Linked DNA regions of Arabidopsis thaliana. The protein of the gene in region 3 interacts with the protein of the main gene of each other region in a biochemical or structural test. Each region holds a gene or a part of one and is shown on either strand. Other genes may lie near its edges. The genes, in order: PSY1R, SIP4, HA2 and AT1G22290.

Evidence for each region.
Region 1: the proteins of HA2 (region 3) and PSY1R form a complex in vitro, tested with the Arabidopsis thaliana proteins (one study listed by BioGRID).
Region 2: of the proteins of HA2 (region 3) and SIP4, one has a biochemical effect on the other in vitro, tested with the Arabidopsis thaliana proteins (one study listed by BioGRID).
Region 4: the proteins of HA2 (region 3) and AT1G22290 interact in far-western blotting, tested with the Arabidopsis thaliana proteins (one study listed by BioGRID).

What each region holds. Positions count from the first base shown.
Region 1 is NC_003070.9:27,215,151-27,223,920, forward strand, and holds PSY1R (Leucine-rich receptor-like protein kinase family protein), read right to left. Parts: upstream 6,116-8,770; 5' UTR 5,817-6,115; coding exon 2,529-5,816; 3' UTR 2,218-2,528; downstream 1-2,217. Other genes in the region: AT1G72290 (Kunitz family trypsin and protease inhibitor protein), read left to right, coding at 702-1,349. UniProt on the Arabidopsis thaliana protein: Tyrosine-sulfated glycopeptide receptor with a serine/threonine-protein kinase activity. Regulates, in response to tyrosine-sulfated glycopeptide binding, a signaling cascade involved in cellular proliferation and plant growth. Not involved in PSK perception.
Region 2 is NC_003071.7:12,935,178-12,941,973, reverse strand, and holds SIP4 (SOS3-interacting protein 4), read left to right. Parts: upstream 1-3,139; 5' UTR 3,140-3,401; coding exon 3,402-4,709; 3' UTR 4,710-4,995; downstream 4,996-6,796. Other genes in the region: CHAL (allergen-like protein), read left to right, coding at 120-212, 523-698, 1,152-1,397; AT2G30350 (Excinuclease ABC, C subunit, N-terminal), read left to right, coding at 6,232-6,371, 6,565-6,703.
Region 3 is NC_003075.7:14,767,450-14,777,808, forward strand, and holds HA2 (H[+]-ATPase 2), read right to left. Parts: upstream 8,610-10,359; 5' UTR 8,472-8,609; coding exon 8,430-8,471; intron 7,417-8,429; coding exon 7,297-7,416; intron 7,198-7,296; coding exon 6,961-7,197; intron 6,853-6,960; coding exon 6,091-6,852; intron 6,004-6,090; coding exon 5,881-6,003; intron 5,802-5,880; coding exon 5,697-5,801; intron 5,594-5,696; coding exon 5,449-5,593; intron 5,360-5,448; coding exon 4,857-5,359; intron 4,758-4,856; coding exon 4,725-4,757; intron 4,633-4,724; coding exon 4,551-4,632; intron 4,448-4,550; coding exon 4,287-4,447; intron 4,191-4,286; coding exon 4,017-4,190; intron 3,921-4,016; coding exon 3,556-3,920; intron 3,465-3,555; coding exon 3,371-3,464; 3' UTR 3,116-3,370; downstream 1-3,115. Other genes in the region: AT4G30180 (uncharacterized protein), read left to right, coding at 1,579-2,055. UniProt on the Arabidopsis thaliana protein: The plasma membrane H(+) ATPase of plants and fungi generates a proton gradient that drives the active transport of nutrients by H(+)-symport. The resulting external acidification and/or internal alkinization may mediate growth responses.
Region 4 is NC_003070.9:7,874,390-7,880,604, forward strand, and holds AT1G22290 (14-3-3 family protein), read right to left. Parts: upstream 3,574-6,215; 5' UTR 3,527-3,573; coding exon 3,460-3,526; intron 3,383-3,459; coding exon 3,064-3,382; intron 2,985-3,063; coding exon 2,918-2,984; intron 2,811-2,917; coding exon 2,734-2,810; intron 2,638-2,733; coding exon 2,585-2,637; coding exon of another isoform or gene 2,577-2,584; intron 2,509-2,576; coding exon 2,441-2,508; 3' UTR 2,251-2,440; downstream 1-2,250. Other genes in the region: PAPP2C (phytochrome-associated protein phosphatase type 2C), read left to right, coding at 14-271, 342-618, 712-866, 970-1,107; GRF10 (general regulatory factor 10), read right to left, coding at 4,757-4,762, 4,861-4,898, 5,247-5,395, 5,477-5,586, 5,694-5,781, 5,989-6,215.

The DNA.
Region 1 (8,770 bases), on a different chromosome or scaffold from region 3:
TACTCAGACCATATCTTCCGCTTCTTGATTATTGTCAATTTGTTGTCACTCAATTTATCTCTTGCAAAATTTAGTTGAAATCATTTGGTTTCATCTTTGGCTCTTGAATAGTTGCATGTGTGTATTTAGTAAGTTCTTTTCAATTAAGAAGGAAGAATAAAACAAATTGTGGCCAGAAACAATTATGTTGAGTTTTATCTCATACGTTGGCTCATTCATCCCCATCTCTCTGCTTTTGAATCATTCTACTCCTCCCATTTTTTGATCGTCCTTTTTCCTGCTTCTGAACATGGATCATTGTGCATGTTCGGATGTTCCTCGATCGTGCTGAAACTCAAAGTCTGAATCGATTACCATAGACTCTCAACCCATCTTTGATATATAAAAAAGAGCCTTAACCCATCTCTTCTACTCTCCCTCTCTAGAAACAAACACATCACGTGATGATCTGTTTCCCCCCATACTTACGGGATGATCAGAATGTGGCATGAGGAAAAAGCCAAGAAATAAGTTGATAAATTTAAGGTTTAATTTAACAAAAATGAGAGATTAATCTTTTCATTTTAGGGTCGCACGCGGTGTTTTGTGCAACCGCAGAAACTTCCTATAAATACCGATACAATGTGCATGCTTTCTACAACTCAACTCACTCAAACCAAAAAAAGAAACATCAAACCCTAAAACACACATAACAATCACAAATGAAGAATCCTTCAGTGATCTCTTTTCTCATCATTCTCCTGTTTGCTGCAACTATTTGCACCCACGGAAATGAACCGGTGAAGGATACAGCCGGAAATCCACTTAACACCCGCGAACAATACTTCATCCAGCCGGTTAAGACCGAGAGTAAAAACGGAGGTGGTCTTGTCCCAGCCGCCATTACAGTACTTCCCTTTTGTCCACTTGGCATCACCCAAACACTTCTTCCCTACCAACCCGGCCTACCGGTTAGCTTCGTATTAGCACTTGGCGTAGGATCAACCGTTATGACATCTTCGGCTGTAAACATCGAGTTCAAGTCCAACATCTGGCCGTTTTGCAAGGAGTTTTCCAAGTTTTGGGAAGTTGATGATTCCTCATCAGCTCCCAAGGAGCCTTCAATTCTCATCGGTGGTAAAATGGGGGACCGAAATAGCTCGTTTAAGATTGAGAAAGCTGGAGAAGGAGCTAGAGCAAACGTTTATAAGTTGACCACCTTTTACGGAACCGTTGGAGCCATCCCAGGGGTTTGGTTAAGCGCACCACAACTAATTATCACCAAGGATACGGCTAAGACCTTACTCGTCAAATTCAAAAAGGTTGATGATGCTACTACGGCTACTAGCAACTTATACTTCCCGGGTTGATAATTTAGGTCTAAGGATGTTCCCGTTCTACTAATCAACTGGTAAAAATTATTGTAATATTAAGCCTGAGACTCGTCCATGGCCTAAAATAATGAGTTATTTTCAAATTTCAATTAATAAGAAAGAAAAATGTGGCCAGATCCAGATACATAGATGTTGAGAATCATTCATAGGCATTGCTGTTGAATCTGTTTAAGGCATGAAATAGTTTTCTTCTTCATTCTACTTTGTATCCGAAAATTTTCTCTCCTCTTGTAAAGATCTTGAGCTTGAGAAAACATTGATCATTCATAGTATAACTTGCTGGACAGAATCTAGCTCCGGACGTGGATCTCGTGACATCGACTAATCAAACCGGATAAATAAACGTGTATGTCTCTTGCTTAATTGAGAGATTAAGATATTTGAGGAGTATCTCAAGGTTTTATCAACAAAGAAACGTAACACTATTCTTTTGATCACGATAGGGTTTCTTTTTTTGGCGTTACTCTATATAGCTTATTTTCCCAAAAACACTCAAAACGACGACGTTTAGCAAGACATATATTATCCAATAAGTTTTAAAAGTCTAAATCAAAAGCTTTCGTTTCACAAAAACCTCTCTCTTTTTTTCTCTCTCTCTCTCTGTCTCTGAATCTTCCATTGATGTTTAGGTATGTCTCAGTTTCTCAGATTCTCATGCTTTGTCTTCTTTCGCGCGTCATACGACTCTTTCTTTTCACTCAATGTCTCTTTGGTAACTATGCACACCAAATGTTCGATTAAATGCCGCTTACAGACCCCACTTGAGTTATTCTGTTAGCATCACAGATTTTTTTGTTTTCTTAGACCTCTTAAGAACGGAGAAATTTCATGGAAGCCAAAGTTGGTTTGATCATACGATACATTCCAGATTTCTAATCAAATCCTTTTATAAAAATCTGCTTTTGATCATGTTAAAGCCAAAGGGTTTTACATAGCTAGAGAGCTACATGTATATAGAAATCGTTTGAATGTCACGAGCTGCATAAATTCCTGTTCTTTACATCATCAAAGCTTCTATTACCATCAAAATTATAATTTACATGGAAATGATGGTTAACATATGCAATTGACAAGAAAAATATGTGTATATTTACTTATGCAGATATTTGAATCTGGTCACAATGATGAATGTAGGGAAGGAAGGCACACACACAGTTACGTCTCTTCTTCTTCTTCAGGTTCTTCTCTGTTATTTTGGTTTTTCTCCGCTTCTATATTCTTTAGCCAGTCTACAACTTGTTGAATGTTTGGTCTTTTCATTGGATTTTGGTTCACACACATGCAGGCTATGTCAAGCACACGAAGCATCGCTTCTTCATTTCCACTTTCTCTCAGCAATGTATCAAACACTTCCTCTGGTTTCCCATCTCTTTTCATAGTATGCACCCATGCGACCAATTCTCTTGACATCTTTGGCCTGAAAACCTCCATTGGTCTTTTCCCTGTGAGAAGCTCGAGCATGACTACACCAAAACTGTACACGTCACCTCTCAAAGTGGCTACCCAAGCTTGTCCATACTCTGGGGGAATGTAACCCAATGTGCCCACTAGCTCAGTTGTTACATGGGTGCGATATGGAAGGATCAATCTTGACAACCCGAAATCTGCTACATATGCCTTGAAATTTCCATCCAAAAGGATGTTGCTGGACTTGATGTCTCGGTGTACTATGTGTGGTTCACATATCTGGTGCATGTATGCTAGTCCACTACTTGCTCCTCTCATAATGTTGAGTCTTTTTGGCCAATCCAGCTGAGCTGGACCCTCAGGATTTTCGTGCAGCCAATAATCCAGACTACCATTCTCCATGAACGAGTAAATTAGTATCCGGGCACTATCATGGACGCAATAACCTTGTAGAGCGACCAGGTTCTCATGTTTCGCCCTGGACAGAACTTCTACCTCTGCCTTGAATTCCTTTTCCATCATACCATAGTCTCCTGTGAGTTTCTTAACCGCCAGTTTCGTTCCATTATCCAAGGTAGCCTTATAGACAAGGCCAAACCCGCCGCAGCCAATTATATTAGCTTGACTGAAGTTGTCGGTAGCTTTCAAGAGCTCAAATATGGTCAGGTCTTTTACTTCATATCTACTGTTTCCAAACAACAGTACAAGACTTATGTCTTTATCCGACCCTGGAGGGACTTCAGAATACGAGCCATTGGAATTTATCTCCAGTTCAGCATTCTCAGAGTCTCCTGGATTTACTCTCCTTTTAGAAAGCACCAACAGAGCTAGCAGCACCAAAATCAAACTGACGCCAAAAAAAAGCCCAAGGACAAGCCCCAAAACAAGCGTTCTGTTGACCTTTCCTTTACCCATCTTTGTAGTAGAGTGCTGAGTTGGATCGCAGGAGGTTAGCAGTACACCACCGCACAGCAAGGGGTTTCCTTCAAAATTTGCTTTTGGGAAGGTATCAAACTGGGTCCCTGTGGGTATCGGCCCACTGAGAGTGTTGTTTGCAACATTGAAATATGACAGGAAATGGAGTCCAGTGAGTGACCATGGAATTCTACCGGAGAGATTGTTGTTGGACAGGTCCAGCCTCTCTAAGTTAGTGAGGTTTGACAATTCATCTGGGATGCTGCCAGAAAAATTATTACCTAGAAGCTCCAGGATATGGAGAACCTTTAGCTGCCCAACCTCGACTGGTATAGTCCCAGTCAAGTTGTTCCTCTTGATGTATATCGTAGGTGGGAGGCTGGAAAGCTGATTGTATTGCTGATTAGTGGTGACATTATTGGGATTGACAAAAACCGGCAGCTCCAGATAGTTCCGCTCTGTTGCATCGTATGCCTTTTGCGACATCAGAGCTCTCAGCTGAAACAGTTCCTTTGGAAGCTCTCCTGTTAGAAAGTTATCGGAAAGATCCAAGTAGAAAAGGTCTGGAAGAGTTCCTAGCCAACCAGGAATTGTCCCCACGAATCGGTTCATGGACAGGTCCATAACTTCTACCCTCTGGAGCTTGATCAGCCAAGCTGGTATTTCACCTGTCAATCTGCACGCACCGATACCAAAAATTTGGAGGCTTGGAAATCCATCTGACCGAAGAAAGTCTTTGTTGCTTGGTACCGTTTCGTCGTAAAAATTCTTTGCCATAATGAGAGTAGAAAGCTTCTTGCAGCCTTGTAGAATGCTGAGAGCCCCTGTAAGGTTCGTCATTTTATTGTCTGAAAAAGTAAAGAACGACAGGGATTCCAATTCCAGTACTTGAGGAGATATCTGTCCCGTTAACTTGTTGCCTGCAAACCTCATTGCTGTCATCATTTTGCATGAGTAAACCGTGGAGGGAAATTCGCCGGTGAAGCTATTGTTTCCGAGGTCCAGAATGCTGAGGCTCTGAAACCGGGAAAAGTCTATCGCCGATAAAGTTCCTCCCAGCTGATTAACCCGTAAATTCAACTTCACGAGTTTTGTGCAATTGGCGAGAGAAACCGGGATAGAACCCATGAGGTTATTGACATGGAGTTGGAGGCTACTCAGTTTCGAAAGCTTACCTATATCCTTGGGTATTTCTCCTTCGATGTGATTAGAGTAAAGCTCAAGCAATGTCAGTTTGGTGAGACGAGTAATCCCATTATCAATTTTGCCAGAAAGACGGTTGACTGGTAAAAAGAGTTGCTCGAGCTCAGGAAGATTGTAGATTTCTTTGGGGATTTCACCAGAGAGATTGTTGAAGCCTGCTCGAAGAACACTTAGCCTCGAGCATCTGCTTAATTCTTGAGAGAGATCACCGCTGAAATCATTGTAGGAGAAATCCAGTTTGGTGAGCTGCGGCGAAGCTGTGCACATGAAGGAAGGGATAGAACCCGTGAAGCTGTTGTTGCTGACATTGAAACTGGTTAAATTGAAAGCACCCTGAAGAAAAACAGAACTACTGAGAATTTCTCCCTCAAGAAGATTGCTGGAGAGATCAACGGTCTGAATTGGGAAGATTCCGTTGCTTCCATTGCCAAATGATTGTTGAAGTGGCAATTCACCTTTGAAACTGTTGTAACTAAGATCAAGAACCAAGAGCTGATCAAGGGCAGAGAGGAAACCAGGTGGGAGTGGACCAGAGAGACGGTTATGAGAAAGGTCGAGACGAGAGAGACGCTGGAGATCCAAAACAGACGACGGAAGATTGCCAGAGAGTCCTCTAGAGGACAAAATAATCGAAGTAACACGATTTTCAGGAGACTTATCACAAGAGATTCCTTCCCAGGAGCAACAATCAATGGACGAATTCCAATGCAAAGGAGAGACTGGAGATGATACGTTGCCAGAGAACCAAAGGAGAGAATCTCGATCCTGAAGATTACAAACAGCCTCTGAAACTGTAAGAAAGAAGACAGAAATGGAAAGAACGTAGAGAAGGACAAAGAGAACCATGTGAGGACTCAAAGGTTTTACTTGTCTCACAAAAGGACCAATGGATTTAGATCTCATCTTCTCGTCAATCATGGCGAGAACAAAAGAAGAAGAAGAAGAAGCTGAGAAAGATTAAGAAAGCTTGAAAAAGAAGAAGAAGAAGGAGAGGGAAAAGAAGAAACAAAAGACATGATTATCCAATCTGGGTTTCTCTGTCCGAAGCTTGTAAATGGCTCTCAATACCATCGTTGACCAAAGGGAATAGTCAGACCAAACAGAAGAAAACTTCTTGTCACACCCAAAGTTCACTTTTAAATTTTATTTTATTTTATCATGTTATCTTTCTGCCCTGATTGTGGTTGTGGGTATGCTGTTTTTATGTAAAGTTTTTTTTTGATTAAAAAGTTATATATATATATATATATATATATATATATATAAATTATTATTCCTTTTTGTAATAAAAGCTCAAGTACAACTCTCTGAATAGCTCTGGTAATTATTAAAGTCAGCCCTATATATCCTTACTTATATGAACCAATGAAAAATGTTTTACTTATTTCATTTGTCTGGTTTTGTTCTGTCATTTATTCATGATTAAGAAAGATTAAAAAACGTTTTATGTGATTTATTTTGAAATTGGGTCATTTCAATCTTTGGAGGTGGGAGGTGCATGCGTGCGTGCTATGATGTTGATCATGAAATTGAATTTGATCATAAAATAATAATGATGGGTACAAACATTATGATATGAAATCAAAATAAATAAATAAAAAAGAAGAAGTTGAAGAATAGTATTATGATGATTATTTTTTGTGGTAGAGGCGTTTACCTTTTGGGGCGGCTGGTTTAGTAGTAGTGGCTCGTAGTGGTGGTGGTGTTACACAACTTTTTTCTATATCCTCTAAAATTGTAGAATATGTAATTCATCTTTATTTATTTTTGTCCATTTCTTTCTTTACTTTTTTGCCTTATGGAGGATCTTTTTATGTTTAATTATGCCAAGTGGAAGCCACATTTAACATTAGATAGTGGTCATAAAGAACGAAAAGTAGATAAAGAAGATCATATGATAACTATTTTTTTTTTGTAAAGGATACTATTTATTTTGTTTGACTTTTTGATTTCTTAGGGTTATAAAAATCCTTCAAGCTGTTCATGTGTGTGTTTCTTTTCGTAATTTATAATGAGCAAATGGCGTATATGATAGCTAACAAGTTACTTTAAACAATACCGTATTAAATTAACTGTCTTAGACTTTTCAGAAATTGTACTTATTAAATGGCTATAACCCAAAAAAAAACATTAGTATAGATTTTGTGTGATATTATATTTATCACTTTCATACGATTAGAATAAGTCATAAGAAGTTACTTAATTTTAAAACCGAAATTGTGTTTTTGTGAATTATTGACGATCAAAAACAGTTATTTGGAGTGATGTTTTAAAAAGAGAGTTCTTCGAAGTCCAATTAAATAGAATCTATCATGATTAATGCGTTTAATACTTTAACTAGTGTTTAGGAGCAGTAAGTAATGATGGTGTGAATTTGTTTTTCTATCTAAATATTATTTAACATGATAGAGCTTACGAAGACATGGTAAGAATAGTTATCTCTTTAGTGGAATCGAATATAAAGATTTGACATTAAATAATACCGAACAATCTTTTGGAGTTGTGTTGGACCTCCTTTATGTATGCTTTATTTATCTCTCTATCATCTAAAATAAAGAAGGAAATTTAGAATTCTGAGGCTCAGATTGTTGAGAATAAACCGTAAAATAAACTCTTGTGACTTTATACAACGATAATATATTATTAGCTTTTCGATAAAAGACGATCACATCTATTTTAATGTTTTTCCACTGAATTTTTATTATGTTCAATCAAATTTATAGAATCTCTAATAATTTTATTTTCCACCTAATATATTTCTTATACTTATAGAGATTCATGTACCTCAAAATCCAGGTTTAATAAAGCTTGTCGTTTTCTGGCCTAGAATAGAATAAGGAAAAGCCAATAAATATTGTATTCATTTATTTATTTTACTTATAAGTTATTAACTTCTTAATTATTATTTTGCTATTTTCTAATATGAATCCATTTCAAAACACAGCACATCGGCATATCTGTTTATCTATCTTGAAAAGAACTCGTCCTAATTTGTTTTTTTTTCGTCTGACAATTTCTTCTTCTTTTTAAATTGAGAAAATGATTTTGTAAAAACAAATAAAATGGGCGACTTTTTTTTTTTTTTTGGGGATAAAATTTGGCAATTGGACGACTTGGATTAGGATATTCCATTTTTTATATATACAATTCAACTGAAAGATAACATGTATCATGATCCTGATTTAATGTATATTTTGTGTTTGGCATTTTTCTATATTTTGTAATATATTACTTGTCCTTTTATAAACTGTATACAGCTATTTTAATTTTTCCTGCTCCCAGATACAGCTATTTAGATTTTTCGTACCATTTGCAAATATTTTAAGAACAACTAGTTGAAATTTTTAAATAATCAACAGAAAATAACAGTCAAGTGATAATAACATAAACACTATTTTTTGTTCTACAGGTGTGAATAAGCATATGTTAAATGTATTCTATTTTCTGACGACCCTAAATCTAGGCTCTCCTCGTGAATTTTCATTTAATTAAGGGAGAGAAAACGTTTGACTTTAAAAGAACAAATAGTATTTAATTCAATACATGTTATTATATATATGTAATTTTATTTTGGGAGATAGCTTATCTTCTATATTGGTCGTCAAAAAGATATAACCTATATTGAGTTGGACCGGTAAGCTCATGCAAAAAGAACAAAATCTAACCACTTGCTTTTTACAATTACCTATTTATGTGTGTGATGAGTTAAGTTATGACTTTGAACAGATGATATCTTTTACATGTGTTTTTGATTTAAGTTATGACTTTGAATAGTTGATATCTTTTGCATGTGTTTTTTGGTCTTTGTATTCCAATAACCCATTTGATCATTCAATCAACTTTTTAACAATAATCATAAAAACTAGGGAAGC
Region 2 (6,796 bases), on a different chromosome or scaffold from region 3:
TTTCTCGTTATCATATTAATTATCAACTTTCTCAAACATTAATATCTTAGAATATTTTTGGTTACGTAACATAAATTATTACAGTACCATTCATATATTATCTTGTTGTAAAAATGCAGATAATAGGAATTCTAACTCTGGGACACTAGGGAACTTCTATGCAAAGGTTCGTAAACTGTTTATACCTCTTACTCTCTTGCGTGATCTAACAAGTAACAATTGTTTTTGTTTTTTTGCTGTTGAGTCAACAATTAGTTAGGAAATAGGAATCAAAAACCGTGTTAACTTCCTTTTTTTTGGCATAACTATAACCACATAAAATCCAAAAAAAGCTTAGTTTCTATTTTCTCCTGATTCAAGCATCTTTGGAGGACAAGATTGATGTTGATTCATCATTAAACACACTTTAAAAATAATATAAGCTTTTTTTTTTTTTTCCATAAATAATATAAGCTTATAATGCGGGGTTCTCTAAAAGGACTACACAAACAAAAGGGTTGTGGCTAAACTGCGCTTGAACAGTCAGCGACTGTGACGGCATGTCGAGACTGACTGGGCATGCAGAGATGCCATGTACTCCTAAAGAAATTCTCAGCCGTCGGATTGGTTTCAGCGCACACGAGGACAAGGACAGTACTCAACTTTTGGTTCGTTCACCACTCGTGGGACCCTGCCTTGCTTACGATCTCGATCGAGTGGTAATATTAGCCCCCACGGTGCACGTTAACGTATGACAGGCTCTTGGAACTTCTCAATCTCTCTGCCCTTTTTGGTAATGTGCGTAGCGCTTTTTCCGGAGCGGTTTTCCCGCGTCTTGTCTCACATCCCCAACCCTGTCTTAAAAATGTTTTTTACCTAAACTGCGCATTTTAACAATAATATGCGTATGTCAGCATGAAATCGCACGTTAGTAACGCAGTCCTCTCACTATCTTATGTTGATAGCAGCTGAAATTGAGTTCACTAGAAGATACTAATTATTGAACGTTAATTAGAAAATACTAATTATTCTTGATTAACCATATTGTTTGGTTTGTTTTACTAGATGTATTATCCTAATGAAGAAAATAATAAATTAGGATATGTATACGTTTGAATATATATTTAGTAATGAAAAATGTGATAATATGTACGTTTTGAGTATGTGTTCAGGAGGAAGGCAAGAGTACCGTAGTGATAAAGAAGACTAGGAAGATCGGTGACCGGAGCAAGGAGGCAGAGCTACGGAGGATTCTAAGGGGATTGGGCTCATCTCCACCACGGTGCTCCTCCAAGTGTGGAAGATGCACTCCGTGCAAGCCTGTTCACGTTCCGGTGCCTCCCGGCACGCCTGTCACCGCCGAATACTACCCGGAAGCTTGGAGATGCAAGTGCGGCAACAAGTTGTACATGCCATGATCTTTTATAATATATATACTCACATATATACATTATATATATGAATTATATGCATGTTCGTAGTTATATCTTGCCTCTACTCCAAATATTTATTATACATTGACATGTTGCTAGGACAACCTCAACGTGAAACTTTTGCTGATAAATTGATTGATGATGCTCGTATAGACGATATGACGTTCTTAGCATATGATTTCGTATATGGTGACATAATTCATGAATAATATCAACATTTGGTGTCAAAAGGAAACATATTTCTTGTCTTCTTCTTCAACGTACTTGCTTATAATGAACAAAAAATAAAAAAACGTACTCGCTTTCTAATAAGTATCACATAGGTTTAGGCTCATAAACATATGGACTAACATAAATAAACCAAAAGCCCAATAACATTACTCTTAGCATATACATATAAGTAAACTATTAACATCTGTCTGCGGGACTCGTTGATTTCATTTAAATTCTGTAGTCTCAGCTCGTTCAATTTAATCTATTCGTACACACTGATAATATTCAAGAAAACATATGCTAACGTATAACGTATTACGTATCCAAATACACCTTACACCACTCACACATAGCCCATATATAAAAGTTTGAAGGATTTAAAGTCGCAGACTCGCGGTCATTTTTTTTCTTTAAAGTCGCAGTCATTGACTGACTGATTCTTCTTTCTTATTGAAAGGTTTTTTATGTAAAGACGAAAGTTTAATCAGGATGTGAATATGGTACGGCCCATGTTCTTTATTCCTTTTTTTTTTTTTGGTGCAAAGTTCTTTCTTATTCTATGTTAGAAAAATAATCAAATTACCGACGCGAGCAAAGGTTATTATTTCCTGGCTATTAGTCTATAACTGATAAATAATTAGTCAATCAGATCAAACAATAGAGAAATAATTAGTCTGCAATCAGCGATTATTAAAAAATAAAATAAAATAGAAACATATCTCAGCACCGATTTTTCAACAGCCGGCCCACGATCCAGAACCGTCCAGCTTGAAGCCGGCGCCGCGTCGACTTGTTCCACCGTTCGGATATTGCCACGTGTGTGAGAGACACCTGCCATTACCTCGTGGAACATGTTTTGTTAGTATAAGTTACTAACCAAGTCGCTATCTTCAATTCTTCATTACCTAAGAGTTGAATAAAAAAACAACCATATACGATGAGACACGCAAATAACTGATATACGAAACAATTATTTATTGATGTACATTCTTCTAACTATAATACTACAAGATTCTGAATAGTTTTAGATGTAAAAAGTACGAGAAGAGTTATGATCAGAGTAAGTTAAGTGATAAGATCATGACACGTAGGCAGAGGAAATAAAGTAGAAACTATCGACAACATAATAATTGAGTGAGTACAAAAACCACGTAATAATTAGGTGTACACTGTAGTCTGTAGATCGATTGTACAAAATGAAAAAACTATATGATTTAAGGAACTAGATATACATATGCATCGACTCAAGAACAGTTGCTTTATGTGAAGACTATCAATTACATTATCGGCTAAATTTGGCTTCATGTGTTGAATAGATGGATTGTGTGCTCAGGTAGTTGTGTCAGTTAATTATAACAGTAAACCTTCACTGCTTCACATATATAAAATTTGGGTTAAAAAAACTTTAACATTTTATTTTTTTAATTGACAACAAACAAATTCTGTAACGGTTACATATAATAGTGCTTCAGTTAAACTCCTTTTTTAGGCAACTCTAATTCCTTTATACCCTTAATCCATTATTATTCTATCGAACTTATCTTTTTAAAAGCTTCCGCGTTACGCCATCACTTCTCCACCATTTAAATACCTAAACCACTTTCTTTCAAATTTCTTATTCCATAAAAAGTAAATTCACAACAAAACCAAAAAAAAAAAAAGAGAAGAAGAATTAGCTTACGTGTTCATCACATCTGCATTACGCGCAAACGAAACAGATTCAAATTCTCCGGCGAAGTTTTCTTATTCATCAATCAATCTCTGGATTCATCAATCATGCCAGAGATCGAGATTGCCGCCGGCAGCGGCGACAACAACGACGCCTTATTCGGTAAATATGAGCTCGGAAAGCTTCTCGGATGCGGCGCATTCGCCAAAGTCTTCCACGCACGTGATCGTCGTACCGGCCAAAGCGTCGCCGTGAAAATCCTCAACAAGAAAAAACTCCTCACAAATCCAGCTCTAGCCAACAACATCAAACGCGAGATCTCAATCATGAGAAGATTATCTCATCCAAACATCGTCAAGCTCCACGAAGTAATGGCGACAAAATCAAAGATCTTCTTCGCAATGGAGTTTGTTAAAGGAGGAGAACTATTCAACAAAATCTCAAAACATGGACGTCTTAGCGAAGATTTAAGCCGGAGATATTTCCAGCAACTGATCTCCGCCGTTGGTTATTGCCACGCTCGCGGTGTTTACCACCGCGATCTCAAACCAGAGAATCTATTAATAGACGAAAACGGAAACTTAAAAGTTTCCGATTTCGGTCTAAGCGCGTTAACGGATCAGATCCGACCCGATGGGTTGTTACATACCTTGTGTGGTACTCCGGCGTACGTTGCGCCGGAGATTCTATCTAAAAAAGGATATGAAGGTGCTAAAGTTGATGTATGGTCTTGTGGAATCGTCTTGTTCGTTCTCGTCGCCGGTTATTTACCGTTTAACGATCCGAATGTGATGAATATGTATAAGAAGATTTATAAAGGAGAGTATCGTTTTCCTCGTTGGATGTCTCCAGATCTGAAACGATTCGTTTCTCGTCTTTTAGATATTAATCCTGAGACTAGAATCACCATTGATGAGATTTTGAAAGATCCTTGGTTTGTTAGAGGAGGTTTTAAACAGATCAAGTTCCACGATGACGAGATCGAAGATCAGAAAGTGGAATCGTCACTAGAAGCTGTGAAGAGTTTAAACGCGTTTGATTTGATTTCTTACTCGTCGGGATTGGATTTGTCGGGATTGTTTGCTGGTTGTAGTAATTCGAGTGGTGAATCGGAGAGGTTTTTATCGGAAAAGTCGCCGGAGATGTTGGCGGAGGAAGTGGAGGGGTTTGCGAGAGAGGAGAATCTGAGGATGAAGAAGAAGAAGGAGGAAGAGTATGGGTTTGAGATGGAGGGGCAAAATGGGAAATTTGGTATCGGGATTTGTATTTCGCGGTTGAATGATTTGCTTGTGGTGGTGGAGGCACGGCGGAGAGGTGGTGATGGTGATTGTTATAAGGAGATGTGGAATGGTAAACTCAGGGTTCAACTTATTCGCGTTTGCGATCAGACGTCGTCAACAAACGCGGCTATTTAAAAGAACGCTATGAAGTTTTCTACCGTGCTTTCAATTTTAAAACGCCAATCGCGTTTCGTTGGTTGGATTTGGTTTCTACTACTTTTGTTTCGGAATTAAAAACAGAGAAAAAATAATAAAAATTAATGTATGTATTTAAATACTGTACCAAATTGTAGGTATCTATTTTGTGCTTTTTGATCAATGTGTTACTATGTACAACAACAAGTCTAAAATTGCATTTGTAGATACTTCACTCTTTTGTATAATGTAGAAAATGTTCTTCTATTTATAGTTTGGATTTTCCAATTTTACACATTTGTACATAACTACTTTTTAAAATCAACCATGCAAATTGTATTAAGTTAAAGTGCATGATAACCAAATCAGATTAATAACCAATGAATTGAAAATAAAAAGTAGATAAATTACTAAAATAAAATAATCTCTAAATCGCATAAACTCATCTAAACTCTCAAAAATCCATACATTACACATTTTTTTTTTTTTCAAAAAGGCTTTCAATTCTATACATTTTTCTGCTTATCAAATATGGCTTCTTCACTTTAATATTTATGTATAGAATTGAAAGCATTTTTGAAAGAAAAACTTTGTGTAATGTATTATTGAACAAATGAAATGATTGAAATGGGAGTTCCACATCCAGTGAAGAAAAAGCATTAAAAAGTATGTATAGAATCAGGGAACTTCAAAAATTGAAATCTGCAGCTTTATAAAAAGAAAAGCTATTATTGTCTACTTGATTGGATATTACAACTCAAAACGAGTGAAGGTTAAGGAATCATTATCATTATTAAAGCATCATCATAAGCACCAGCCTTTTGTTATTCTTCTCATCATTTGTTTGGCCAATTTAAAATTTTAATTAATATCATCTCACCATAGTTTCTGCCCACCTTTTGGTTTTAGGTGCAAATGGAAAAACTCTGGCAAATTAGGTTGTTTGGTGTGAATTAGGAAAGTAGAATGCTTATTGAATATTCTTGACTATATCTAAACTCTCTTTATTCACTTGGGTGATTTCCTCATAAAAATATTATTGTACCAAACTCTCTGAAATCAAAGTTTACTATATAGCTAAAATAAAAACCAAAAACTCTACTAAACCAAAGTTAAGAATAAATTCTTTATTAGAGACAAACTCAAAATTGAAAACCATCATTTATTGTATCTGAAAAGTAAAAAGAAAAAGAGGATATAATATGAGGAGAGATTATTTGAAAGCTGAAATTTTAGTTGCGGTAAAATTTGACATAAGTGAGCAAATTTTATAAGCTCTAAAATCAATAGGAGACCTATCACGGTATCACTATCATGATGGGTAACAATGTCATGTGAACCAAGTAAAACAAAATACAGTATAGGAAATGAATTATAAAAAATTGGGCCATTATAAAATTGGGTCATTGAATACAGTGGGCCTTAATCATACATTTCGGCCCATTCTCATCCTTAAGAGATAAAACGGATTTTTTAGTGTAATAATCTGTCGTCTTCAACGGTCGAATTGAATCCAAGAGATATGAGAGAGAAAAGGGGAAATCGGAAAGCCCTAGATCCCGTCGGTGAGGATGGAGTCACCGGAAAAGATGGAAAAGGCTTCTTCGCCTGTTATCTCTTGACCTCTCTTAGCCCTCGTCATAAGGGTCAAACCTATATCGGGTACTTGTTTCTCTCATCTCTGATTTTGGAATTGAAGATTCTGTTGGATCAAATTCGATTGAGAAAGGATTTACATTTTCTGGGTTTATCTGATTGAATACTTAAATTTGATCAAATAGGAGATTTTGAGTGTTTAATAATCAGACTATGAGATGTTTAGTGATTGATTGCATAAACTGGGTTTGGTTGGTAGGTTCACTGTAAACCCGAGGCGGAGAATAAGGCAGCACAATGGAGAGATCACTAGTGGTGCTTGGAGAACAAAGAAGAAACGTCCATGGGAAATGGTTCTCTGTATCTATGGTTTCCCCACCAATGTCTCTGCCCTTCAGGTCCTTTTGCTACCCTAAAGCAAAAGATTCCTTGCCAAAAGATTCTGTTTTTACTTCTTTTGTTCTCCAGTTGTGGCCTCGCTCTTGAATGTT
Region 3 (10,359 bases):
AGAGAAATAAAATTTCCTTGCTGCATTGATTGATAATCTACTAACCCTTGACTTTTTTTGTGTGGTAGGATAAAGAACACAACAAAACCAATAAGAGATCATTCAGTTTTGGCTATTAACAACAAAAGCTAGTAACGTGTATATTGCATGTATCAAACACTATAAGATTAAGAGACAACTTGTAATGTCTCAACCGCCCATGTTTAGTAGTTATAGATATTGTTTGGACATTTTATTGTTATTATTATTATTATTATTATTATATATATATATATATATATATATCTAAATGATTCGGTATATATTTTAAAAAATAAAAATAAAATAACAAATGAGTAACACCCAGACTTTCATATCATATCAAAGGTGACCTTTTGTGTCAACATAAACTATATTTATCTATTTACAAATCCTATAGGAAAAATTAAAGTCATCTTTAAACCTGGAATGCAATGATGCTTAGAATCAAAAAATCACGACTAAAAGTCCTTGACAAATAAAACGTATTAATAACCCAATTACTGACCACATGCATCTTAACTTTATGTTAATATGCGTAGTAAAGAAACTTGTATCTACGTCATATTAGTTACAGTGGCAGTAAAATTCAGTTTCAAAGATGTTTGTCTTGATATGTTGTACAGATCACCAATTGAACTACCACTAATAATAACTAAATTTCTGTTTAGCAAGTTACCATCTGTATCCAAATATCGCAAAAGTAGTGGGTAGTGAAACCCAAATTCATCACACATGCAGCATAAAAAAAAAGAAGGTCAAATGGTATATATAATATGAGGGAGATCTATATTAAGATAATATGGGTAGAAATGACATAGATTGATCAAACTAATTAGGAGATTGGTCCAAGGACACATACACATGCATACATGTATTATGTATATACAAAGTGTGTGAGTGAGTGAGTGAGAGAGAGAGAGGTTAAGAGGAAGGAACATGTGAAAGCATTAAGAGAAGGTGGGGTTTTGTATTGATGTCTTGTTCTTGGAATGGAGCCACATGGTAAAAGGGTCTCTCAAAGCACCTCTTTAGGGGTAGTTGTGATGCAGCCAAATTAGAGCTCTTGCATGTGACTCCATGTGTTTTTTCTTCCCTCACCCATTATTATTCCCAAATTCTTCTTTTCTTATTTTTCTCTCTTTATTTATGTATATATATATATATATATATATATATACACACTCTCTTTTTGTTTTCGTGTATTTTCTAAAAATAAATGTATTATACAAAAAAACATATATTAGTTGATGATATTCAAATTCCGTTGTTTTTAAAATATTTGTCTAAAAAAGAAAACTACTAACTACGACTTTCAAATAGTCTTGTGTTTTGTACGTGAACGAAAAATAATAACACTCCCAAACATATTACCTCATATATGTATACAAAGAAAATTAAGTTCTACAACTTTACTTTATACATCATCAACGCTTGTTATATACAAACAAACGTAGGACACCGCTCTTCTCTTTCTTTGTCTCTCTCATATTCTAAGTTTGCTATATATGTAACTTTCTCCCTTGTAGACTTTCATTTGCAGCAAAAATAGTTTCTCATATGGAGAGGCAAATCATAAACAGGAAGAAACGAGTGTTTTCTCTTGAACCAAACAAGAACCCTAGTGCAGTTTTCACGAGAAAATACACAAGCCACTTGGTTCCTGCACTCAAGAAGCTCAACATGAACAAGAACTCTTCAAAACAAACCGTGAAGCATGAAGTAGATATGGCTTTGGCTTTGTCTGCTCAAGAATTTGCATGGAGCCGTTTCTTGCTGCAGAAGCTATCGTCCTCATCGAATCCAACCACTACCACTAGTTCTTCTTCCGATGGAATTCGGATTCTTGAAAGACCCGATAAAGAAGGCGGAAACGAAGAAGGAGGGATAGAGGAGAGACTGAGGGAATTGAAGAAGCTTTTGCCAGGTGGGGAAGAGATGAATGTGGAAGAAATGTTGAGTGAGATTGGTAACTACATTAAATGTCTTGAGTTGCAGACGATTGCTCTCAAGTCCATTGTTCAAGATAGTACTTGACTTTTAGTTTAAGTGTATAATTTATAGTTTGTTTCATGTTTTTTTTGTTGTCTTTAAACGAAAATCATCTGTGTTTTTTTTTTTCTCTTGATTTCTTTAAGAACAAGAGCATGTATTATAGTGTTTTTCTTTTTTCCTTTTCTTAATTAATCATGGTTACCGAAATACCTAAAGTACCACACATGGCCGTTTATACGTACATCTTATAAAATTCGATCAAAATCTGATTGAAATTTAAATTATTGGTTGTAATGCCAAATAGACGATGTGCTGCCTAAAATAAAACTCTTATGTTGTCTTTTTTTCCTGAATTTATTATTTTAATGTTATGAGCAAATCTCCAAACTTTAATATTCTAATCATTTTAACCTGACAAACTTTGTGTTTGTGTATATATTTATATTCCTGCAAGTTTTTTTTCTCCTTTAGCGAAAACATATGAACTTTCGACTACAAAAAATCAGATGTAACAAATCTTCAATTAAATAAAAGCTACACATTAGTAGAGATCACCAATATGTTCCAGCTGCAGTAACTACAGGTGCACCATTAAAATGTAAACAAAAATTAGGACTACTGGACTAGAATTACTTTCCAAAAAATTCGATGAATATGAAAAACAAAACGCCGAAATTGTAAATATCTAAAAAGGAGGAAAGTTGGATGACATATGTGTAAACTATGAAAGTCATAACATTGATTTGAAGTCATCATCCATATCTTTGCACGTGTCTCACAGTCACTCGCACGCATCCAAATCTCTCTATTTCTCTTAAGATTCTAGCCGTACTACTTCCACACAACTTGTCTCATGTCATGTTTTTAATGGCATTTTTAAAGGATAGTGTTATTTAATTGATTTGGTTTCAGTGAAAAAAAAAAAGAAAAAATTATGGTTATTTCCCTTCTTTACAACAAACAAAATTTGATTTAAATAAGCAAATTGTTTGTTGTCCCTAGGTATAAATAACATTTAGGTACTATATATAAAAGTAAAGAAGCCGGAAGAAAAGTTGGATTACGAAAAAGAAGAAGATTAAGATTACATAGGCTCATGGAATAAGAGCAAAGAAGAGAATGTGCATGTGCCAAATGCCAAACACAAAGGCATGCCTTGTTTCTTCAAAAGAGCAAATTATGCAAAAGTACATATTTGAGAAACAAGAACACTAACAATAAGGTTTGGGAAGAGTTATGGCAATAAACAAAGATCTCTCCCTATGTGAATAATAATCATAAGAGGTGGTGAAGAAAAAAAGAAGAAGAAGAAGACAAAACATGAGAGGATCGAAGATCAGTCATATGTTTGGTTTTACTACACAGTGTAGTGACTGGGAGTTTCAATGTCCAAGCCCTTTAGCTTCACGACTGATTCCACATGTCCCTTGAGTGTGTGCAGCTCCCTAAGCCTGTTTAACATATAACAATTCAATTAGTGTTTAATTCCAACAAAAAAATACACTTAGATTAAAAAGAATCGTGTGTGATCGGATTTATTACCTAGCGATCTCAGCTCTTCTCTTAGCTTGCTCAGCGATCTCAGACAATTCTCTGTAACTTCCTTTCTCAGGGAAGATGTTAACAGCTTCTTTTGGCTGTAAACCGTGAAGTGTCCTTTGAGCAAGTGCCCATTGAGCCTCTCTCTCTTCTTTTCCGTAATCTTTCTTCATCGTGAAAGCCGTCTTGTTCTCAAACAAGTTGAGCCACGCCTTTCCGCTCAAGATGTATCGAATGGCAAACTTGAAAACGTCCAATGGGAAGTATGTGACAATACTGTATAGCCAGATCACACCAGCCCATCCCCATCCAATACCCCTAATCTTTGCAAATTCCCAGTTGGCGTAAACCGCAATCAAAGTAGCAATCTGCATTTGGAAGAATGAATGGATTTAACGGGTGCTTCTTTGAGAACCTTTTTACCAAACAAGAATTCCCTTAAAATGTTGATTTGATGAACTTACCAGTTGTGCAATGAGGAAAGCAATCATCAGCAATGCTCCAGGACGTTCAACAAAAGACCAACTCCTTGATCTTGTGACGAAGATCAGAGCTTGACTAATGATACTAACTTGTAAGTACACCGCACCCATTAGCTCGTGGTTATTGTCCCTAATGGACCTCACACCGAATGTGTCCTGTGAATCCAATGTGAAATTTACTTTACAACTCTGAACAAGAACCTAAGAAAAAACTTCTGTAAAAGAGAAATTAATTAGCTCAATTGTATGTACCGAGAAAAAGTCAGTCTTGTGCGCCGCCCAGAAGAAAATAACAGTCATGATGGCCTGGTAGCCTCCTAGAACGACTCCAGTAGCAAAAATTTCTTTAAGTTTCCAGCTATCAGGTGTGGGAGATGGCTTAACTCTGTCCTTTGAGATTGTCATGATGGTACCTATAAGATCAAGATAGCAACACAATACCAAAAGATATAAGTAAACATTGTAGAAAAAGTAAACAAATTTTGAGGTTTATACAAAAGGACAGCCATTGCTCACCGTCGTTAAGAATGGCAATGATCAGAACCATGAAGGCTGAGAAGTCAAATTCCCATATCAAAGCAATAAGCATGAAACCAAACTGCAAAAAGTTTCAACGCAATATGATCAGCATACTATTAATCCAAGATAAAACCAACAAGGGCCAGAACTCAAACGGATTTATTTGCATACCACAATACGGATGGTGATTGAGACTGCATAGATCTGTAACAAGAGAGAAAAATAGAACAGAGTAATTAGTTTCAATTGCAAGCAAGCAAGTGGTTGGAATAAATTAAGGATGAAAAATAGGAGAAGACGCACAGTATAGTTCTTCATTCTCTGGAAAATAGCTCTGCTGGTGAGAACAGCACTGATAATAACGCTGAGTCCAGGCTCAGTGAGCACGATATCTGAAGCACCACGAGCAGCATCTGTAGCATCAGCAACAGCAATACCGATATCAGCTTTCTTTAGAGCAGGGGCATCATTGACACCATCACCAGTCATTCCAACAATATGCTTCCTCTCCTGCAACTTTTTCACAATTTCGTATTTGTGCTCTGCAATAAAAAAAACAAAGCTTAGAACTAACATCACCACCTTTGCAATGAACATATAGTGAGGTTTATAATCCAAACAATAAATAAGCAGATTATAACCTGGGAAGACTCCGGCAAATCCATCAGCCTTTTCAATCAACTCCTCAACAGGAATGGATGCGAGGTTTGCGTCTTTGTGTGTACCAAGAAGAGCCGAAGATGGATACATGTTTGTTCCCATTCCAAGTCTGCGACCAGTTTCCTTACCAATAGCAAGTTGGTCACCTGGCCACATATGTGTTCAAGAGAATGTTAGGGGGAACTTGTGAAGGTGTATAGCTAGCACAACAAGATAGATGGGTAGACAAATTTACCAGTGATCATCTTGACGTTAACACCAAGATTCAAAGCCCGTCGAATTGTTTCAGCACTGTCATGTCTTGGGGGATCAAAAAGTGGCAACAAGCCAACAAATTCCCATGGCGCACCTGGGCTTTCCTTTGTTTTCTCTGGCACCACCTACAAAAGGGAATAAGAAGACAAACAGTTGAACATTTGTTACCACTGAGAAAAGAAAAGCAAAAAGGGACTGGAACTATCAGTATTAATGGCGAATAAGTACCTGGCGAGCAACAGCCAACGACCTAAGACCACGCTCAGCATACTTGTCAATAATGGAGAGCACCTTCTTGCTAAGATCATTGCTGGCTTTGGCAAGTTCGAGGATCTGTTGGGAGAATCAAATCAGTATAAAAAAGAAAGGTAAGAAAAAAAAAGGATTAGCTTGTAAAATTAAGATCCATCACCTGCTCAGGAGCACCTTTACTGACTCTGTGCCAGTTACCACTGCCGTCAATGTAAGTCAAAGCAGTTCTCTTATCCACAGGGTTGAATGGAAGGAAGTGAACTTCCCTGATTCCAGCTCTAGCCTGTGAAAATCCCAATCAAACATCAGAACATGTTTCTTGGACGCTCAGTAAAACTACAAATAACATGTGAACCAAAAAGGGTTATACCTCCTTTGGATCAGCAAGCATCCCAACCATGGCTGCATCAATGGCATCCTGGTTCTCAACCCTGGAAGCCATAGCTGCAAATAATAGGACTTGATCTTTCTCCACACCCTTGCAGAAAACCTCGACCAAGTTTTTGTCCACACTCAATTTGTTGAGGGTTAGTGTCCCGGTTTTGTCACTGCACAGGACATCCATTCCTGCCATCTCTTCAATGGCAGTCATACGCTTGGTGATGGCACCTTGCTGAGACAACCTGTGAGACCCAATAGCCATGGTCACGGACAAGACTGTAGGCATAGCAATGGGGATACCACCGATCAAGAGGACCAAAAGGTTGTCAATTCCATCTCTGTACTTTCGGCGTTGGATCGGATACATGACGATGATCTCAATCACCATACCGATAGCAATGGAACAGATACAGAAGTTCCCAATGGCTGTAAGAACCTTCTGGAAATGTCCAACTTGGTTAGTGCTGTCCACAAGGTGAGCAGCTTTACCGAAGAAGGTATGAACCCCAGTGGCAATAACAACCGCCTCGATTTCTCCTTGTTTGCAGGTTGAACCAGAGAAAACTTCTTGACCCGGGTGCTTGGTTACAGGAAGGGACTCTCCAGTTAGAGCAGATTGGTCAACCTTTAAAGGATCACCTTCAAGTAGACGGGCATCAGCTGGGATAATGTCTCCTAATTTAATGCTAACAATATCTCCTGGGACAAGAATAGCAGCTTCTTGTTCACTCCACTTTCCATCCCTAAGAACCTGAAACAGAGAAACATCACAACAAGAACCAAAACATTAGCTCTAGGGAAAATTCAGAAAGTTCTGTATAACAAATTCACACCATTCATTCTCTTATCATATATATACCTTGGTTTTAGGAGCAAGACCAGCCATAAGAGCAGCAGCAGCATTACCAGCATTGTTTTCTTCGATAAAACTGATGGTAGAGTTGATAACCAACAGACAGATAATACCAACAAAATCCTGCCAATCCGGAGGCCTACCATCACCGTTGGCCAAAGCAATGGCCATGATTGCAGCCATTTCCATGACCCATGAAAGTGGATTCCACATAAACCCCAAAAACTTCAGAAGTTTGCTTTCCTGTCAATTTTCATTGCACAAATCACCAAACACTCAGTAACAAAAAAAAAGGAGACCAACTATGTATTTTATCTGAGAGCTACAAATGCAAAATCAGACCTTTTTCTCTTCGAGCTTGTTGGGGCCAAAGATCTGAATCCTGTCCTCCCCTTCCTGCGTTGTCAATCCTTCCCTTGAACATTTTAGCTGCTGGAAAACTTCCTCAATCGGAATTTTTTCCTGAAAAAATCAAAAGCAAATTCGATCAGATGACCAAATCCAAACAACTCAAACTTTCACATACACAAAACAAGTTTCTAAACCTTAAAAAGGAGAAACCTTTTCTTAAGTAAAACAGAAAACTTTGATGATTTTGTAACCGTAGATAAATCTACTCTGTTTCATAAGTACAATAGTTGGAAAAAAGTCGTTGACTAGTTCGGTGACAATGAAATATTTTTGGCGGGGGGGAAATAGCGGTGGTGAAGTGGGGACCGCCACCACCGACCAACGTGATGGCGACGTGAAACACACGCGCCGAAAGATTCCCCTCACTTCCCGGCGTAAAAATCGAGGCTTGGTCGCGTAAATACAGTCCAAAGTTATGTAAAAGTAGCATTTTAATAAAAAAGATTCAAATTATTGTCCCAAGAAACACAGAAAAGAAGTTACGTCTGCACAAAAGATGTGTTCTTTTTTGTTGGTTGCTAAAGACAGAGAAGTTAAACGTACCACGGAAAGGTACAACCAAAAAAAAAATCCGAACTTCGTGTTAAGTAACAGATTTGATTAAAGTCATATTTATTTTTTCTAAATACCACCAAATAAATTCTTACTAGTAACCAAAAAAAGAGAAGACAAAACATTGTACAAGTAGGTTTGGACTTTATTGAGACGTAGCTAGCTCCACCACTGAAAAAAGAGACTCTGTTTTCTTTATCTTGTTTGTTTACTAGTATATCACATGCTTAGATCTACTTTTTTCTCATGAACAAACTCTTCATGTCCTCCAAACGTTTCTTAGACTTAATTACTACCCAGAAACAAAAATATAGTCTTTCTAAACAAATTTCACATATTCAAAACTAAATCGATGAAAATGTATATATAAAAAACGAAACCATAATGAGAGTAAGTAATAACCAAGGAAAGACTTTAAAGCCACCAAGTGGATACAGATCTACTCTCATTCAGGCAGATCATCGAACAGTTTGTGAGCATAAAATAAAAACAGAGGATAAAAAATGGTATACCAGATCAACAGTCTCGTTCTTGATATCTTCGAGACTCGACATCTCTCACCACTCCTTCACTGAGAAAAACGACGGCGAATTAGTACTCAACACGACAGCTTTGTCCGCCGTTTCACTCGATCATATGTATTCCGGCAAAATAGAGAGAAGGAGAGGAGGAGAGATTAGGTGGTTCTGTTGCAGAGTCGATACGAGTCCTCTTTTTATAAGCCACTAAAAACGACGATTTTCTCCGCCGTTTTGGCTATGTGGGTCCCATTACCAAGTAGTCTCTCTATATTTATTACCCTTTTTATTTATTTTGCTGCCTCTTTAAGTTCTTAATCACCCTTTGACCGTTGATTAATGTAATATTTTTGGCTTATGAACCCGAATCAAATTTGTATATATTTTGTGGGTCCTAATTACACTTTAATTATGGAATAATTGTTCATTTTAAACAACAAAATTTTCTACCGTTAATAATTCTTATTTTCTTTTTATTTTGAGATATTTTGATGTTTTATAGTAGTTTGAAAAGGGACTCTAAGGAGGAAGTAGCTTATAAGAGAAACTAATTTGTAATATCTCTTTTTTTAATTACTAGATCATAGACTTTGGTGTTTTTTTTCTTTCTTTTGTCATGAATCATTATATCAAGAAAGAAATATTTGGTGGAGGTATACATTGCTTGGATTTTTTAATTTATATTTGACTAAGCAACATACTACTTGCTGCTTAGCCTGTCCTCTTCTTCATTTTTCTTTTTTTTTTTTTGGACACCTATTAGGTTTTGTTTAAAGAAAGATATTTCTTTCTGAAAATTTCAACTAATACTATATTTTCTTAACAAAATCGTTTTCCAACTGGTTTAGGTTCGTTTTTTCTAAATTTGTTTTTTCGATAAGCAATAATGGGTTACTTCGGTTTTGTTTCCATTTTTTCTTTCTCAACCATACAAATACTTCTCCAAGCCAAAACACTTTAAATCTCTGAAATTTTGACAGAGATGCTTATAACAAAAACTACATACCTTGATTAAGCAGGTAAGAAAACTACTTTTTCTTACTATTTTTACATTATATCAGTTGGTGTGGATCGTAATTAGTTACGACGGACTAATTTATATAGTAGTAATTTGTAGAATAGTAATTTTAATATATATAGTTATTTGTGGCCCTAACGTTGATAATGAAAATATTGGCCCTTCCAAGGTGTGCCTCATGGCAAGGTCAGCAATGGGAACGATGTCACATGTTAATAATTGAATAAAAACCATAGTGTTAATTAAATTTGTTCCCTCTGAAGATATACTGAGAAATTGACTTTTGATTGTGATGGGTCCCCCAATAATACAAAGTTCGTCATTTCCAACTCCTCTACGTTTTAACTTCTTAGGATTCATGTCCTAATTAATAAGTGTTCAAGTCTAAACAAACGTCTCGTAAATTAGGTAAAGAGAATATGTACAAGATACGAAAATCATTTCTTGTCTTTTCTTTTCTTTTCACAAATGATGGATAGAAAAATTGTAAACAAAATGATTTTATTTATCACATTTTTTTATCATGGGGTAACAAGTTTTAGATTATTGTATACAGTAACATACTTTACATATATATCATACTATTTATTTGAATAAAATACAAAAAGACATCACTTATTTACAGTTTGCCACAATATTTCTTTACCAATATAATTTTGGTAATCTAGTAAAATAAGTTCACTATGTATTTAATTTTGCAGCTCAAATGAACCTTAACTAAATTATTTAAAATATAAGATATAATATATTATCATCTAGTTGACTTAAATGACTCTTACAAACACATTTAAAAACTTATCATGTCATATATATGAAGGAAAGAGGCAAAATTTGTCCTTAATGCACACTATACATATAGAAAAGAACATCTGAATAGCCATATATCATATAACTACTAGCATAGTC
Region 4 (6,215 bases), on a different chromosome or scaffold from region 3:
TGTGGGTTTTTAGGTTGTGGGAGGACAATCATCATCACGATCAGGTAAAGGAAGAAGTGATGAAGGGATGATCAAGTATGGTTTTAGTCTAGTGAAAGGAAAAGCTAACCATCCAATGGAAGATTATCATGTTGCTAACTTTATCAACATCCAAGACCATGAATTGGGTCTTTTTGCTATTTATGATGGTCATATGGGTGATAGTGTCCCTGCTTACTTGCAGAAACGTCTCTTCTCCAATATCCTTAAGGAGGTAAAAACAAAAAAAAAGGTTACTGTTCTACTGTTCTTGGGTTAATGAACATGTGCATAGCTTTAAGTGTATTGTTTTTTTTATGCAGGGAGAGTTTTGGGTTGATCCTCGAAGGTCTATTGCAAAAGCTTATGAGAAGACGGACCAAGCGATTCTATCGAATAGTTCTGACTTGGGTCGTGGTGGTTCTACTGCTGTGACTGCTATATTGATTAATGGGAGAAAGTTGTGGATAGCTAATGTTGGTGATTCACGAGCTGTTCTTTCTCATGGTGGCGCTATAACGCAGATGAGTACAGATCATGAGCCTCGTACTGAAAGGTCGAGTATTGAAGATAGAGGTGGATTTGTATCCAATCTACCAGGTAAAGAACTTATTTTGAGTATTGAATGTTTAATGAAGATAGAATGATTTTGTTGACAAGGAGGATGATGTGGCTGTGATGTTTTAATAACAGGTGATGTTCCTCGGGTGAATGGTCAATTAGCTGTGTCTCGTGCTTTTGGAGATAAGGGACTTAAGACACACTTGAGTTCAGAGCCTGACATAAAAGAAGCTACTGTAGATAGCCAGACAGATGTTCTTCTCTTGGCTAGTGATGGCATCTGGAAGGTAATAATGGCTTGTTCTCTGTATATATTATTCATCTCTTGTTAAATGAGTGTTTTGAGACCATTTTTGTCTGATTGTTTTGTTGTAATGATCATGTTAATAGGTGATGACAAATGAAGAGGCAATGGAGATAGCGAGAAGAGTGAAAGATCCACAGAAAGCGGCAAAGGAATTAACAGCTGAAGCATTGAGAAGAGAGAGTAAAGACGACATATCTTGTGTCGTGGTCCGATTCAGATGACAAACTCTCTGAAAGGATACTTACGGGGAGATGGGTTCCTTATATAATAATTTCAATCAAAGATTCATCAGGACAAAAAAGCTTGTTTTCACTGGATTCGACTCTGATGATTCTGGTTCGGTTTAGGACCGGTCTAAGTTTCAATTTGTGATTAGCTGCTTCTTGCTATAGCTTATGTGCGTTCGTTGTGTAAATTGTGTGTTTTAAAGACGATAAGAAAATGAACAAAAAAGGAGTGGGGAATGGAGTTTTGTGGTGGGTGATGGGGGGTTTTGTTATTATAATTGGTTGATTTGTTATATTTAATCATCGGGATATAAATATTAGGATGTTTTTACAAATATGTGAAAGTACTTTTGGATTAGGTTTGCATATATATATGTTAACCAAAGTGTTTGCTATTTGTAAGAGATTTACATTGCCAAACAAAATAAGCAAAAGTTATCCTTATCATTGTTGTTGGTAAATGTCATTATCCTTGGAAGGATTAAAAATAAGATGGATCAGTTTACTACAATTTGGTTGTGTTTTGTTGTTATAATTCTAAGCAAAGTCTTTCAGAGATTGAGATGTTGCAAATAGTTGCAGAAATTTATCACTGAAAAGGGTTTCATTATTGAAAGACTTAGCTTAGGCGTTGAAAAACTTTCATTGTGTTTTATTTGTGGAACTGTTTGCAACTGCTATAGAGGAAGATGTACCAAGCAATTCTCGAGTTTTCTTCCTCAGTGCTCCAATGGGATTATAGTATTCATTTGGCTATAAAAAGAAAGAATGAAGAAACGTCGGTGACAAGCAATGATTCTTTAGGTATACTCCGACAAACAAAACCCCAAATGGTGTCTTATATTCTGAAATTTCAACACAGGAGAAGCAAGTTAAGTGTAAAACAGATTCCAACCCATCTTGACTCAGGATATGCATCAAGAGTCGTTTCTTTTCTCGCATAGGATTCAAGATTCAGTTCTGCAATGGTATAGTAACTCCATTAGCAATGCCAAAATGAAAAATATAATCTTCAAGTAGCTTAAATTTTGACATAACTGGCTTTTTCATACCTTTTTCTTGGGGCTCATCACCACTTTTGGATAAGAGGAAACAAAAAAAAAGTTGAGTGTATGATTTGGAAGAGAACAAGAAACTAGTATGCTAATTGGTTTCTTGCAACAAAATTTGCTTGAATTCAACAACTTGGCGTTTAAGCAATGAAAGATCCACAAAGCCGTAAATATGTTCCCAAGCATTAACATTCGAATCAAAGTTTAGGCTCCTCATAACAGTACAAGAACTAACAAAATTTCACAAAAATGGCTTATATTGATTCCAAAGGAAACTATCTATCTATCATCAGAGGAGGCAGATAGGGAAATAAAAAGATTACCTCCTCTCTTTCTGTGAGGTCTAAAGTCCACATGTTGAGATTGTCTCTGAGTAGCTGTATAATAAGAGTCATGTCCTTGTTTGATTCATCACTTACTGTCAAATTCATTAATTGCATCATCGAACGCTTGCTTTGCCAATTGGTATGCACTGTACAACACACAGTTTCACTGATTCAGACTGTTAGTAAGTAACACCACACCGATTTCATTAAATAATCATATGTATGCATGTAAGCAAAGGAACCTTTCAGGAGAGTTTAAGAAAACAGAAGTCCAATTCAAAGTCATGTATAGCTGGAACTGTTGGTACCAAACCAGTCTCTGCAGCAGTAACAACAACCAACATTGCCATTACCAAAACACAAAACATATTGTTCAGTTTATTTTGTTCCGAGCTCAAGGCACAAAAACAAACATGAGCCAAGGACCTTATATGCATCAAGAGACTGATCAGTAGCTTCCTTGCTTTCAGCATTAGAACTGAAGTCTGCCAGCCTGGAAAGAACATAAAGTATAGCCAAAACAGTGCAACACTTTTGCGCCTCAAGCACCACAACAACACATTTTCGCTCACATATTGTAGAAAAGAACAGAGGAGTCCACAGTGGTAGACGATGGAATGAGTTGCTTATTGATGACGGACAGGATGTCATTACAAATTTTGGCAAGCTCATCTTCAACCTTGTTTCGATAATTCTTAAGCTTCTTGACATTTTCCTCATTTCCTTTTGACTCTTCCTTTTGCACAATGGATGATAGTATTTCCAATGAAGCTCTCCTTGCGCTAATCACATTCTTGTACCCCACTGATACAAGATTTCTCTCCTTTGCTGATAGCTCCGCTTTAAGCTGAACACTTTTCTTCATCGCTTTCTTTATCTCTTCAAATGTTTCTGCAACAAAACATTTGGAGTATTGAGTAATGTGAAGGCATGTTAAGATTCAAGAAGTTGTTCTGGAAAAAAAGTACCATTGTAGCGCTCGCTTGACGAAGAGAGACTCGCGAAGTGAACGTGCGTTGATTGTTCATTCTCCATGGCTTTTCTTCTTTTTCTCTCTTAAACAATAGATGCTTGGAGAAGAAGAAACTGTAATCTGTATTTCTTGCTCAAGACTTTTCGATTTCACTCATCATTTTAAAGAATAGAAAAGTAAATGAGCTAATGACAAGTGTCCTATTGGCGCTGGATCCAATAGCATCAAATCTGTTTTGAAGGTTTCAGGTTGATTTGGTGAGAGTTGGCAAAGATCGTCACCATGATCCTCTGTTTATTAGTCAAACCTAATATTTGAAGGTGTTGTCTCTTTGCTTTTGACAGTTGTAGCATTTGTTGTGCTAGCAACAACTCACCTAAAGAATTTAGAAGTTGGGCCAAGTGAATACTTGAATTGATCATTTGTAGCTCAAAATTGAAGTTTTCGATAGATGTATGAAATTATTATTCATTGGACATATAAAAATATTAAAGAAAACACTACAAAATCTCTCGAGGGAAGTGGTCAATTCGTGACAAAAATGTTATTTAGATGGTTGACAAAAAGATATCTGATTCTATAAGGATTAACTGGTTCACAGTTTGATTAACATGTTTTAGACTTTGAGGGCTCTCGATTGGATTAGACACAATGAGTGTTGGTACGAGTTAGAGAGTTTGTGATAGCATTTGGTTACAATTACAACTTACAAGAGTCCCATATTTAGAGCATAGAGATCCTTTTTGAGGGTCATGTTGGGAGAACCAAACCATTATTATGTCACACACTTACGGACCAAACCACCGTAGAGAAACACACTTGAGGATGATTCCTTGGCCACAAAGAGGGCAAACATCCACAAATTGAAAAGTTGTGAAGTTTGGGATCACTTATGCAAATTATTAAGAGCCTCTTGAATTCAGACTTTCATGATTTTTGCAAGGAGTTATTAGTTATTACAAACTTCGAATAAAGCTTTGTCTGTTTTGGTTTTTAATTTTGAGACCATGATACGCCTAATATTCTGATAAACAAAAACCCAAATCATGCCTGCTGGCTCAATTCAACAACAAAAGAAGCAAACTAAGCGTAAAACAGAATTCAACCACATCATAAGAGGGTTGAAGATACGCAACGCAGTGTTGTGTTGTGAAAAGTTCAAGAATCTGGAAAACACCATCAAGAAAGACATAGATTAAAAATTACACATTCGAGTAACAAACAACGACACTTACTGTCTTCACTTCAAGATTCAGGATGCAGCAAGAGTCGTTTCTCTTCTCACAGAGGATTTAGTTCTGCAATGATTCAGTAATTCCATGAGTGGTCTAATTGTCAATGCAAAATGGAAAAATCAGTAAGTAGCTTAACTTATAACAAAACTGGCTTTTCATACCTCATCTTGAGGCTCATCAGCACCTTTGGTTCTCTCATCTAAGAGGGGAAAAAAAAAAGGTGAGTGAAAAAGCTTTGGAAGAGAAACAAGAAACTAGTAATGTTTTCTGCTACAAACATATAACTTTTACAAGATTAGCTAGAATCCAATAACTATGAGATGGTAGATTGGTATGTTTTTTGTTGAGGCTTTCAAAACTAAAATGAAAGATCTACATAGCAATACATGCATAAAGGACGGTTTAATTCAAATATAGACAGATGGTTAATGGTTACGAGTTCCCAAACATCAACATTTTTACTCCAAGGTAACGCTCTTAACAGCTCATTTGATTCTAAGGAAACCATTTGATCATGAGATAGGGAAACAAAAGAAAATAAGAATACCTCCTTCCTCATTAAGGTCTGAAGTCCACAAGGTGAGATTGTCTCTAAGTAGCTGCATAATAAGAGTGCTGTCTTTGTATGATTCCTCGTTGAGGCTGTCAAGTTCAGCAATTGCATCATCGAATGCTTGCTTAGCCAATTGGCATGCGCTGTACAATACATAGTTTCATAGTGTCAGAAAATGACCACAGATTCCACTATTATGTTCAATCCAAAATACAAAAACAAACCTTTCGGGAGAGTTCAAGATCTCATAGTAGAAAACTGAAAAGTTCAACGCCAAGCCAAGTCTAACTGGATGTGTGGGTGCCAAACCATTCTCTGCAGCAGCAACAGCAGCCTACATTCCCAGTACGAAAAAAGCAAGACTTGTCTTAGGTTATTCCCAGCTCAAATATAAGAGGGGTGGCACAAAAATAAGAAAACAAATAAACATGATCAAAGGACCTTATATGCTTCAAGAGACTGATCTGCAGCTTCCTTGCGTTCAGCACCAGAACTGAACTCCGCAAGATAGCGATAGTAATCTCCTTTCCTACATAGAAAGAAAAAAAAACACGTAAAGTCAAAACAGTGAAACAAGGAAAAGTTCATGAATCATCATCATTTCAGGAAGAACACAAGCAAGAGTGGTAGCTATGTAATAACTTAAACATTTAACTTTAGTCAAACGGAAATGATCTCATTCTTAGTCACACAAATATCACATGAATGGTCAGAGTATAATAAAGATGACACTCACATTTTGTAGAAAAAGACAGTTGACTCCACAGCGTTAGACGATGGAATGAGATGCTTATCAATGACAGACAAGATGTCATTACAAACTTTAGCAAGCTCATCTTCAACTCTCTTACGATAATTCTTAAGCCTCTTGACATTTTCATCATTTCCCTTGGACTCTTCCTTCTGCTCAATGGAAGATAGTATTCTCCATGATGCTCTCCTTGCACCAATCACATTCTTGTA